Drosophila melanogaster: one gene and its partner. The protein of the gene in region 2 interacts with the protein of the main gene of each other region in a pairwise test. Each region holds a gene or a part of one and is shown on either strand. Other genes may lie near its edges.

Region 1 (4,598 bases), on a different chromosome or scaffold from region 2:
AGCTCCGCTCGAGCGTTGCCCAAACCGAGTACATGACCATCGAGCAGCTGACCAACGAGAAGAAGCACTCACTGCGGAACAGCATTAGGCGGTCCACGCGGGACGTGCTGCGCCATGTGTTCCACAAGAGTCACGATGCCTATGCAACCGCCAAGTGAGCAGGTTGGCTCCACAGATTCAATTGGTGCGTCGATTTTTAGGGGATTTCAAATGGCATTTCTGTAACCGAAAGCATTTAAATTTATTTGTTATTATTTTTGAAATGCGCCTTCCCCTTGTTGAATTGACCCAATTGACTTCTTTTCAATTCGATTTTTCAGCACCTAGTTAAGTTTTTAATTGCACCCAAAGATTGTCACACAAGACCAGCGAAAAAAGGAAAGGAAACCTTATTTCATCTGAAAACCACATCATCACCTAGTTTTTAATCAAGTTTTTTTTCTTAATTTTTCAAGCGAACTCTGCAAATTAATTTGCACACTGTTTATAGTTTTAAGTTACTTGATGTTTGCACGTTTATTCATATATGTATGTATGTATGTTTGCCCATATATCTTTATATATATATATATATATGCTTTCTAATATATATAACATTTGTTTTTTTATACATAAACGTGTGATTTCCTATTCTTGGACCGATTTTTCCGACTAATTTGTGTGTACAGATGCATCAATTTAATGCTAATGACTAGCAAACATTTAAGTTGATAAGTTAATATACTTGCTTAGCTTATGGACATTTTTGTATAGCTTTCAATTATTCATTATCCCGTTTGTCCGGACATTTCTCTCTTGAGCGGACTGCCATCCTGGAGCACACCTACTTGTAGACAGTTTGGAGAAGGGGTCGCCGCCGCTGGTCGATGGGCTTGTAGGCGTGCTGATAGACACTGGCCAATCGCCAGTGCTCTGGATAGCCGCCCTGACCCGCTCCGCCCGCTTGGCTTTGGAAGGGCGGCACCAGGGTTTCGATGTCGTAATTCTTTTTGGCATACGGCTGCCGGGGGCGTGGCACCACCAGAACCCTACCACCGCCACCGCCACCTCCTCCGCAGCCCGGTTCTATTCCCACGAAATCACCGGAGGCATTATGCTTGGGCACTCCGGCGCGAAATGCCGCCTTACTGGTCAAGCAATGTCCGTGTCCGTGTCCATGTCCATGGTGATGACCATGTCCGCCGAACGATGGGGGACAGCATCTGGGAGCTGGAGCCACCTTGTGGCAGAGACGTCGAGCTGGACGCCGGAGGAGAACGTCTCGCTTGCATGGTGGACCACCCGTTGGCCGGCAATCCATGGCCCTGCAATCCTGTCCAGAGTCCGGACCCAAATATTTCTCCCTCAAAGCCTGGTAGGCTTTGTCGCCCAGCAGGGGTGACGATTGATACTGCTTGGCTAGACGATCGGGCATCCCGCGACCGGGTAGCTCCGCCAAATTGCCGAAACTCACACCGCCAGTTGGACCGCCGATGCCCGATCCTCGCCTGCAATGCGATGCACTGGAATCGCGGGAGACACTGCGTGCTCTTTGTCTGGCCGGTGGCGAGTAGTCGCAGGCGCACGGATCCTCGCGATCCACACGGGCACCGCCAAAATCCGTTCGCTTCCTCAGGATGTCCTTGTCGAAGAAATCGGCCTCACCAAGCGTGCTGGTGAAGACGCCAGCCGATCGGCCCAAGTCCGAGGACTGTTCCTCGCGAGGCGTTTTCACGCAGGTGAAGACAGCCGGTCCAGCGGAGTCATTGGAGCCATCTATGTGCCTGGCCAGGCGCGGCTCATCCGATGGATTCGCCGGCTTGAAGTCCCAACAAATGGCCAAATCCATGGGTCCCATCTTTTTGGCCGGAGCGGAGCCAACACCTCGAAAGGCATCGCCATTGCCGAGGGCACGTGGCACGATGCCACCGCCGGTCTTCGGACGAAAGACCTTCATCTTGGTGCAGTGCGTCGGACCAGCATTGTGCGTTTTCACACCCACGCCCGTGGCAATGGGATCGATTTCCAGGGCCAGGCCAGCATGTCCGCCGGATATTTGCGCTCGCCGGAATGCCAAATCGGCGACGCAATCGGGCAGCGGCTGGTGGTCCAAATTGTCCTGGTGCATCCGTTTGGCCAGCTCGAAATTGGCATATGCCGGCACCACTGGCGATGGACACCGCTCGTTGGGCTTCTCCGTGATCGAGTGCAGCGGCATCTTCTTGATCAAATCGGGTTCGGATACGGATACGGGATCGAGATCAAAGCTTCGTATACCCACCGTCGGCAATGAGATTAGATCCTTGCCCGGCTCCAGGCACGCAAAGCTCAACTCGCTGCTGCGCTCCAAGTGATCCGTATAGCGATTTTGGGCCGCTGCCAATGCCGGAAATTGACGACCGGCCGCCGAGCCCAGCTGCTCCCTGTACTTGATGGGCTGCGTGTCGCGCGTGTCCAAGGTGAGACGACCAAGTGGCACGCTGTCCGTGCTGTTGCGTTTCTGGTCGAGGAGCTCCTGGTGCGAGGGCAGCCGGAACTGCGGCTCTGTTAGGTCGCCCGGCGTGTAGCTCAGTTCCGGGAGAGCTGTTTGCGACATGATTGGATGGAGTAATGGAGTAGGTGGCTTTCAGGTTCGTTCACTTGTTGCAATGCGTTGGTGGTGCAGAATGGAATGGGATGAGATAAGATGGAGATGGAGATGGAGATGATAATGATGTATGATTTATGTACATATGTAACAGATGGTTTAACCTGGGTTTAGTTATAAAATATATATGCTATATGATTTGTGTTGAGTGCAATCGTGCTGCCCTTTAAAATGTATTTTAAACCTGCGGTTACAATGAATTTGATTTGAATTTCGGTTGAACAAAATAATGAAGTTTTACTAATGGCCCTTCGCCGCCTTGCGCTCTTTCTCCTTGCCCTTATCCTTCGTCTTATCCTTCTTGCCCGCCTCCTTGTCCTTTGGCTTGTCCTTCGGCTTGTCCTTGGGAGTGGCGACAGTCGCCGCCGGTTTCTCCGACGATGGAATCGGCTTGGTCAGCTCATTGGGATGCAATGCCGTTCGTCCTTTGGAAAAGGCGGTTATGGTGCGCTTTCGACGCCGCTTTTCGGTGGCCACACCCGTCGTCTTGATTGCCTTCGGCGTCATCTTCACGGTTTTCTCGCTCTACGGTTGCAGGTGAATGTGAATGTGAGTGTGCAGGGTGCAGGATGAAAGTGCAAAAAGTGCAACCAGAAATGAAAATATGTATAGCTTGGTTGCAGATAACTCAATAATCTGGGTGCACATAATTGGTAAGAGGTGACACCGATGGTGACCCCGATGGTGACCCCGATTCCCACTCACCACCACGTCGCACTTGGCCCGATTGCAGCGCGCACTCCGCTCGCTCAACGCCCTCAGCTTCTGTAGTCCCTCGCACTTCGTCTGGCACCGTTCGCGCATCCAGTAGGGATCGTCCTTGTGGCCCAAGGTCAACCGCTGATCGCAGGCCAGTGCCCTGCGGTTCTCTCGCTGACAATTGCACAGGTCACGCGGAAAGTCAACAAACTTGTACCGCCCACTCAGACAGGCATCGTAGTGGGCGCAAAAGGCACGGGTTATTCGACGCGGTAGCTCGTAGGTTCCACGATATTGGCCAAATGAGTTGCCCTCCCTGTGGATTAAAATTAAACTGTATAATTGTGGGGCATTGGCAATTGCTTACTTTATCACTTCGGGCAGCAGGTGACCGTTATTGGCCGCCACAACCTTGGCGTTCTTCTGCAGACCACGTGGGCGGGGTGGTGAGAATCGCGGATATTCCCAGTTGTTGAGACGCTTCGACTGGAATCGGCCTTCGAACTGCAACGAACGAGTAAGTAAGGAACTCGATGTCAGGGAGCTGGGCATGGGCATGGGCATGGGATTAGCCAGGAGTCGATAGACACCTGTTAGGAAAACGCGCACGCCCCCTGCGAGTAATGCCCTTATTTATGGTCCCAGCGCAAACAAGGCAATTGATAAAAAGAAAGAACAAAAAAAAAAAAAAAAATTGTAGAAGGAGCAGAGCAGAGCAGAGCAGTAGCCCACCCCGCAGCCGTGGCCAAATGTCAATCGAAAACCGGAACCCACCCCGGGCGAATGGAGGTGGGGCCAATTACACGGCGTAATCTCTACGCTGGAACATGTGTAGAAAGGCATTTGTCTAATGCCACTTAATGCCTTGTTTGTGTTTGCCTTTCTAAAAATTTCCAACATCTCTGCGCGCGCTAAAAAACGAGCCACTGCATCTCATCCAAAGCCCGGACCATTTATCAGAAGGATTAGCCAGCCCTAAGCGGGCACAGGAGCAAGTGAGCCCGGCAATATGCCTGCAATTGAATTGGATTGAACTACTATGTGGCATAATTGAATATGAATATGAGAAGTGAAATCTGTTAAATGGAAGATCATCTCTTCCAAAAAAAAAAAAAAACATGGAGCAACATCCAACTTTGGGAGATTCAAAGCTTTCAGGCTGCGTGGTCTTCCCACGCGTACGAATTTCAATTAAGGAATGCAAATGGACCTTCGCTGGTAACTCGATACTCGGAGCGCTCCGAGTGTCACCACTTGATTGAGGCCTTGATCG
Region 2 (8,250 bases):
AGTCAAAATATCACAAGAAATAAAAGAATTTGGAATAATAATCGCATTCATTAAATCCTTTTTAATGGATCAATCTTGTTAAAGCTCAAATAAAACTGCTAATGTTATTTGACATCGTGTTCGATTTCAATTAACGAATCATGTAAAGCTTGTGAATCAGGAAGCTTACAACTGATAACCAAACTCATAAATTAAGTTTAATTTTATTTTAATAAAATCAATTTTAAAAATAAGTATGGAAATCTCAAAATATTTAAGATGCTGTATTCGATTTCAAGATTAAGCTCTCTTGAAAGATGTGTGTTTGTGTCATTAACCAAATATTTTATCTGATTCAAATTAAAGAAAACTCTTTGTAGTTTAGCATACAATTTATTTGGTTCCATTCTTTCGCTTCCGTTCAACAAAAGCAACGCGACCTTCTGCCTCTCAGTTTATTTAAAATATTGATGTATATATATTTTGTATATATTGAATTCATTTAGCTTAAGTGTATATATATTCTTTAGGTTGAGTTATTTAAATAATTGAAACGGTAGTTAGTTTGTGGTGTCTTTCTTCCGATTGAGTTAACTTCGAGTACTTGCCCTTAAACCTGGATCTGGTCTCATTAAGTCGTGATTTCATTGAAAAACTTGCGTCTTTCCTTTGGTTAACATTTCACTTTCCTCCGCTTACTCGCTACTCATTATGATATAGTTGTAAGATAATTAAAGCATTTAATTGTCATCTTATTCGAGTCTACATTCCGCATTCATCCCCTCACTTTGACTCCGTCTGAGATTCAGTTGGTTCGCTGAAGCCACAGAATCTCCACTTCTCCTTTTCCGGCTTGAAGAGATTTGTGTACTTTCCGAGTATATTGGCTAGATCATCATGGTTACTGGGGGCAGCGTTATTGCGCAGCATTTCGCTTAAGTAACTGGCTATGTTGGCGATTTCAACGCCATAGGGATGCAGCACCAGATAGGCTGAGGCCAGAGCAATTATCTTGGCTTCAGACAAGACTAGCGACTTGAAAGTCACCTAAAACAAGGAATAGTGATTAGAAATATGCAAGGGAATGTATGAAATAATTAGATGCATGTAAAACTAAGATAAATTAAGTAATTAAATCTATATATATATATAGTTACACAAATAATTCTCATTACTAACCTCTTCCGCGGCCACTGTTGGGATTTGCTCTTTGCTGCTTTTGTTTATAGTCTCCTCATGATTCGACTTTGAAACATTTTCCATAATTGACTCATTTGCTTTGCTTTTCGTAGAATCCTTAGCGGGCTCCTGCTTTTCATCGTCCTCGATCTCGTGTATCTCCACCACACCGCTTTGGTGCTCTATGATGCGGACATCATCATCCACTTTATCGATATCAATTATTTCCGGTTCTGCCTGTGGGCGGATAATTTCTGTGCCTTCCCGGCTACACGAATCCCCGCTGCTGTAGTCGAGATTTGAGGCGTTTGAAGCATTTGAGGCTCCAGCGCTATTTGCCTCTTTGTCCCTTAATTTGTCCACTGTTTCCTTAATTTTGGTCTTCAACAGAAGTTGCTTAATGCCGGCATCCTTGAGATTTCGTTCCAACTGCTCAATGGTCTTGTTGTCCTTCTGTTCGCGTAGCTTCGTCTGCAGCAACTGGGTCTGCATGTTGCGAATGGTTTCCTGAAGTACCTTTATCTGCTTTTCGCGCTGAACATAATCACTGCGCTCCAGCGTCATCTCGTGACGAATGGCCTCCAGTTGACAGCGTAGAGAGTCGTTCTCGTCCTGATCCAATTTAAAATCTTTATTTTATTTCAAGTTACTTATACTAAACTATTTGATAAACATACTTTTAAGCCATCACTGTCGTAGCGAATTCGCTTGGCGCTGTGTCCGCGTCTATCGTAGTCCCGCTCATCGTCGGAGATTTCCATTTCATCATCATCTGTGATCTGGACAGTTCGAAGTTCCTGCGTGGCATGCGAAAGGAACTTCAATTAATTATCCGTTGCTACTAGTTGGATAGGTTTCGTTTGGTTTGAGTACCATTGCTTACACTATTATAACCTAGCTATAAAATTTGTGTATTTAAATAATGCATCAAATTTGTTTCCTTGCTTACGACTCTGTTCTGGTCCGCTTACTTACCTCGCCACATTTTCAAAAAGTTTTAGAATTTGTTTCGATTAATTTCTTTTTGCTATTAAAAATTAATTTGTATTTGTTGCACAAATTATGTTTCACAGCAGCAATGTTTTTAGTTCTTCCTTTTGCTATTTACCACAACCAATCGATTTCACTGAGTGCCCATCAAAACCTTCCTCGTTTTCTATAAAATTCAATTTCCCATAGAAACTTGAAGGTTTGTGGACACTCGGCTAAGGTTTACTTTTAGTTCGATGTATTTAAAGCGTATCGGAAATGTTATGCAAATGCTTAGTTAAAAATAGAGATAGTACAACAACAAATGATACTTGAAAGCCAAGAAAAGATAGACCAAAGCATTACAGATCAAGAGCGAAAGCAATAAAAGTAAAAGACCTCATATTTAGAAAGATACTAATGAGTGTTTATGATCAGGAAACTGTTTAAAAAACGCACTTTTACTTTGTAAAATGAATTCTTAGAAATATAGTAATATAGTTAACTAGTTTTTTAACAGTTTCCCTTAAAATAATCTTATTCATATATCTAATTCTACATAATTTAAACGATAGTACATTTTAAGCTTGCAAATTACATTAATATTAATATTGTTTCTTTTTTAGTGACATCACAACTGATTTGGAAATTTCGATAATCAAAAACACAAACAGCTAAAAAGAGTCTTAATGCACGGGACAAATAAAAGAAATTAACAATTAATAAAAAGCAATTAGCAGCTATAAGCGTCACCAATGGAATAGTACCATATGATTATATAGGACGGGTGAATGGGCGACATGCTGAATGATAACAGAAATTGCGTTAGTAAAATGGTTAGAAATCTACTGCAACACCACAACGATGATAACAACATCAACATAAACGGATACAACATTATGAAACCAAGAGATACAACAGTGAATCGAAGTTATTGGACAATAAATGTATTTTTTGTTTTTACACAATTTGCAACATCTTTGAAATTGTTCGTATTTGATTATTTGAACATTTTAGTACGTACCGTGGCTAATTTCTTCCATTGATCGATGTTTTTTCTTTGGGCTTTGGTGAAATGGTCCCAAACCTTCTTGTGACTAGCGGCATTGAACACTTTTTCAATCTGAGTGACTGAACAATAATGCAATAATATATAATAATATTAAGGGAGGACAGAGGGTATTTTTTTTTTTTTTTGATTGTTTGTTTATCTGGATTGGTTTTCAGTTTTGCTCTTCACCTTTGTCAAACTAGACTTGTTCTCTTTGCGAATAAAATGAGTGAGAAATGAAAAATTGAAATTAAACTACAGGAGAAACCCTCGCATAGCAATTATTTAATTAGAGTAGTTACGATTATTTAAGGTTGATATATTAGGTACAATCTAGAGAGAATACAACAGCGTGATTACCTATCTTTACGTTTGTCCGAGTCTGAGATTATCTGAGATGCTCTACAAGGACCTCTCAATCCATTACTGTACCAATTGTTTCAATTTGCTCTCTGCCTTGCGGCTTACAAACCTTTTGGGCCAAATAAGACTTAAGACTTTTGTGGTGGTGTCGAGACACAGTGAAAGTGAGTGAGGATCAGCCGCACAGTGGAGCGAATCAGTGAAAAGGGCGACCAACTTTTTAAATAAACATGATTGAATAAGAAATGATATTCCATTTTAATCAGGAAATCAAACTGTTAAATGAATGCGAAATGTAGTTTTATAGTTTTACATTAATATTAATTATCAAAATAATTGATAATTTAAGCGGGTTTTTGATTTAATACTTATTAGCGGTAGTTAATTGGCAGTAATAATTTAGTAAAACGTATTAAAACGACTGAACTTCCTAGTAAATGCATTAATCTTTCAAATGCCAATGCTTGTGCTAAGGCTCCATATACCATCACAAAACATTTTCAGATGTTAGAACAAAGGCAATCTCGATTGTCGCCTCATCCACTGACTTTTGCTGTGCGGCGGCCTTGGGCTTCGTCTTTTTCGGCTAGTCTTTACCTGATCCTGCTTGGATTCATTGGGCTTGCTCCAGCGACCATTGGCGAGCAAATTTTAGACGGTAGTTTCATATGTGGAGTTTGGCATTTAATAATTCGATGACTAGATTTGCTAAATATTGTGTAGGATGGGTATGGTGTGTTTTCAGTGTAGGTGTAGGTGTTTGGATGTGTAGTACGCTGGTAGATTGTTCAGATATACAGACGCTAAAAGGCTAACCCGGGCGCAACGTAAACAGAAAAATAGGATTTCAAAGTGGGATCGGCGCCTAGTTTCCCGTCTAGACTAGAGCTAAGAAAGCTGATCTTCCGGCTGAAAGGCCGAAATACTTACATTGCGTGGACATGGTGCCCATTTGGTTGCGATAGCTGTCTCTGGCCTTCTTTAGATCCTCCTCCAGTTGCAGTTTGTCTGCATGGAGTCTTCGTACATGGGCATGAGTGCTCTGGATCATCGAATAGAAGACATTGGCGTTCCGCTTAGTGCAATCTCCCCGCTCCAGCCACGCGGTAATCGTTTGAATGGCCTTTACAAAAGTCTCGTTGGTGCGTAGGTGCTCCGCAACAGTAGTAGCCTCGTGATCCGTGTAGTGCGGTATTGGTGGCGGCGACTGCGATCGCATCCTGTCCATCGACATGCGCTCACGATGACGCTGTTCCCTCTGATGCTGTCTCTGTCGACACTCGTAATCATACTGATCATCCCGTGCCTGTGCGTAGTCCACATGCAGGCGTCCAAAGTTGGGAGGTTCATTTAGCGCTGATATACGCAATCTATAGCCGGATAGGTAGATGGCCCTATCTATGGCACCCTCTTGGCGGTAGCGAATATGGCAAAAGTTCTTCTTGGACATGCGCAATGTGGTGATCTCGCCGCATGATTCGAAGATCTCCCGGATCACTTCTTCGGTTATGTTTTCCGGCAGTCCACCCACAAACACCGTCCGGCATCCTGGTGGTCGCTCCCTTATTGTGGGAGGAGGTGCGTTCGGATTAGGTGGAAACAGGATGCAGTTCTTGGTCTTGATCACCTCCTTGAGGCCAGCTGGTGTAACGCCATCTAAAAGTATGTTTTTATTAGAATGTTTATTTAAGGTTCCAATTTGGTATTGCTTTCATTACCCGCATTAAGAGTTGCTTCTAGTCCAGCTCCGGTTTCTGTGGTCATTCCGGCTGCTGCTGCCGCTGCATAGTGCATCTGTTGCATTTGTTGCATCGCCGCCGCCATCATGGCCGTAGGATCCATGAGCATTTGCGCATTGGCGGTGCTGTTTGCTGAAGCTGCCGGCGTGGATCCCCCTGCAGCCGAGGATGGATTGCCGGGTGCAGTAGCACCACCCGCTTGGGTGGCCGGAAAATACAGATATCCAGGTGGTGTGTGCACCAAGCCATTCAGGTATAGTTGCGTCGAATCGGGCAGAGTGAGCGAGTTGGATGTGGCCTGCAACTTGGGTTCCTTGTGCATCGTCGAGGAGCTCACATCCGCAGAGTGTTCGTTCTCATTCTCCAGATCCATGGGCGCACTGCCCTGTGGTTGTTGTTGTTGTTTTGCCATCTTATTCTGGATCTGTTTGGGGGGCGAAGAGGGATTTCCCACGACAGATGTGCTCGAGGCCGCCGTGGAAATTGCAGCTGCCAATTGGTTGAGGAAATTCGGGTGATTTGGCAAACTGACGCCATTCGGCATGGTCCCAAAGAGCGGTACTGCAAAATGTACACAGTTTGTAATTTGCTTTAAAAGAGATAACAACCCAAACGAAGCCGGTAGCAAAACAAAATAACCAATCAGCTGAGCACCTCAATTTTCGATAGGTAAAAAAAGGAAATAAAAGCTGGGGGGTGGCAAGTGCCCAAAATGGCGTAAGTCCCACCTGCTGATAAAAGTCGAATTCACCGCAAATACTGTTGTTTCTTAATTTCCCAGACCTTTCTATTTATTCCATTTTCTTTGCTACACATTTTGTGGGCTTTTTAAAATCATTATCTTATCACTTACGCATATTAACGCCCCAGTAATTGTACGACAGGTATGTATAAAAAAAAACTAATTATATTTAGAGATGAGTGACTGCTCGTACTGGTCACCCTAAAAAGAGTATCGATATCCGATAATTTCGGCGCTGCCACACTTTTCACTATGAATCATCAGCTGTCGTCAGTTTTCTAGAAAAACAAAACGTAGTTGTATGAAATTTTTGCAAATTTTTGTGGACTCAAAACAGTTGGAAAATTAAAGAGACATGTCGGTTAATACGGCTCACGCCAACAATGGCGTGCTCATCCATGCTGGAGAGTAGTAAGTTAACGGAAAAGTCCTTTAATTAACACTGAAAATGCTGAACATCCCTGACGTCATAAATGTAAACACTGACGTGTGGCTGGCGATTTGAAAGGAAATTAGCCTATGTTCCAGCGATAAGATAGAAATATGGCACACAAATTAACTGCTTTTACACTTTCAGCATACTGCTCCACAGCGACAGTGTCTCCATGGAGTTCTCCGGTCAGGACAATCCCATCTTCAAGGGCTCCAAAGGTGGCAGGATTTATCTCACCTCCCACCGAATGATCTTCAATAGCAAGAAGTCCTCGGATTCGATGCAGTCGTTCAGTGCCCCGTTTGTTGCTCTTTCGGATGTGGAAATCGAACAGCCCGTTTTCGGGGCCAACTACATCAAGGGAAAGGTTCGCGCTCAGCCAAATGGAAACTACGTGGGCGAGGTCAAGTTCAAGCTCCATTTCAAGGCAGGCGGCGCAATTGAGTAAGTGCATTGTGCACCTAAATTAAAACTAATTAGACGGATCTCTTGATAAGTCTTAATACTGAATAGACTCAAGAGAATATATAATGTTCTGATTAACAAGTCCATTTCTTATAGATATGGTCAAGCTCTACTGCGCTCCGCCAAGACGGCGATGAACAACTACCACCGCGGTGGTCTGGCTGGTGATGATCCGCCACCATATCAGCCGGCTGGATCCTGGAATGAGGCACCACCGCCGGCATATCAGCCACCACCTGGCTACTATGGCTGGCTGCCGCAGCATGACGCATTCAGCGGCCCTGCGCCGAATACGGTCTATATGAGCGACAATCCGCCGCCGTATCCGGGTATCGGTAAGTTAAACGCACGTGCACTTTACCCAATCTATACTCGGCTTTTGTTTTGGCACGCTGGCTACGCGAATTGGCAACCTGGCTTACCCACGAAATTCACGCTACGCACTCGCTTCGTTTAACCCAATGGGGCACTCCTCTCTTTTTCGTCTTAGCACCACCTGCTCACCAACCAGCACCGCAACAGCCGCAGGCACCGTCGTCGAATGAACCCAATTGGTATGGTTTTTCAGCGCCGCCGCCGCAGCAGCAACAACAGCAGCCGGGCTATGGGCCACAAGGATGGGCCGGTGGCTATGTCCAACCTCCGCCGTACGCTTCATGTGCCCCAAATTGTCCACCACAGCCGCCGTACGCCGCTCCGGCTCAGACGTACAATGGTCCACAGCCATATGGTGGATACGGCAATGTTCCTGGCGGATTTAATACCCCCGGATTTCAGCAACCGAATGGAAATCCAAATGGCTATCCAGGTGGACCACCGCCACCCGGACAACAAGCAGCAGGAGCAGCTGGAGGAGCCGCCGCATCTGGAGCCAGCTTTATGGGCTTCAGCTTGCCCCCTGGAAGTGAGTAGAACTCATCATCCCATTCATCACTTTTTTAACATTTCCCTCCCACAATGCACATTTCTAAATTGGTTTTATTCTAGCAAAAGATAAAAAAATATGAGCAAAAGGACAAGAAAATTATGAACATCTTTAAAATAGTCGAAACATCTAAAGATCTAAAATGTTATCAAGAATTTAATTGAAGTATCATGAACCACCTTTTGCTTTCGGACGCTCAAAGTATTCAAGAGGCATCCAAAAACCATTCAGAAGCATTCGTTCTGTTTATTTTTCTCACTTACAAAATTATTCAATTTGTCCAAATAATAAATGATTTGTTAGCATAATTCATTTGACGGTGTAATATTCCTTTTTTGGTAGTGTTTATATTTGTTTTTTTCCCATTTTTGAGTTCCCTTATCAGGTTTCTCACCTAATATCCAA

Evidence for each region.
Region 1: the proteins of CG10948 (region 2) and CG3081 interact in a two-hybrid assay, tested with the Drosophila melanogaster proteins (one large-scale study listed by BioGRID).

What each region holds. Positions count from the first base shown.
Region 1 is NC_004354.4:4,638,502-4,643,099, forward strand, and holds CG3081 (uncharacterized protein), read right to left. Parts: upstream 2,662-4,598; 5' UTR 2,576-2,661; coding exon 824-2,575; 3' UTR 758-823; downstream 1-757. Other genes in the region: pon (partner of numb), read left to right, coding at 1-158; CG3062 (uncharacterized protein), read right to left, coding at 2,867-3,151, 3,332-3,641, 3,693-3,829.
Region 2 is NT_037436.4:12,843,899-12,852,148, forward strand, and holds CG10948 (uncharacterized protein), read right to left. Parts: upstream 6,220-8,250; 5' UTR 6,138-6,219; coding exon 6,134-6,137; intron 5,894-6,133; exon of another isoform or gene 5,842-5,893; coding exon 5,260-5,841; intron 5,198-5,259; coding exon 4,472-5,197; intron 3,259-4,471; coding exon 3,152-3,258; intron 1,956-3,151; coding exon 1,836-1,955; intron 1,771-1,835; coding exon 1,159-1,770; intron 1,027-1,158; coding exon 763-1,026; 3' UTR 356-762; downstream 1-355. Other genes in the region: Wbp2 (WW domain binding protein 2), read left to right, coding at 6,378-6,433, 6,600-6,899, 7,017-7,255, 7,411-7,824.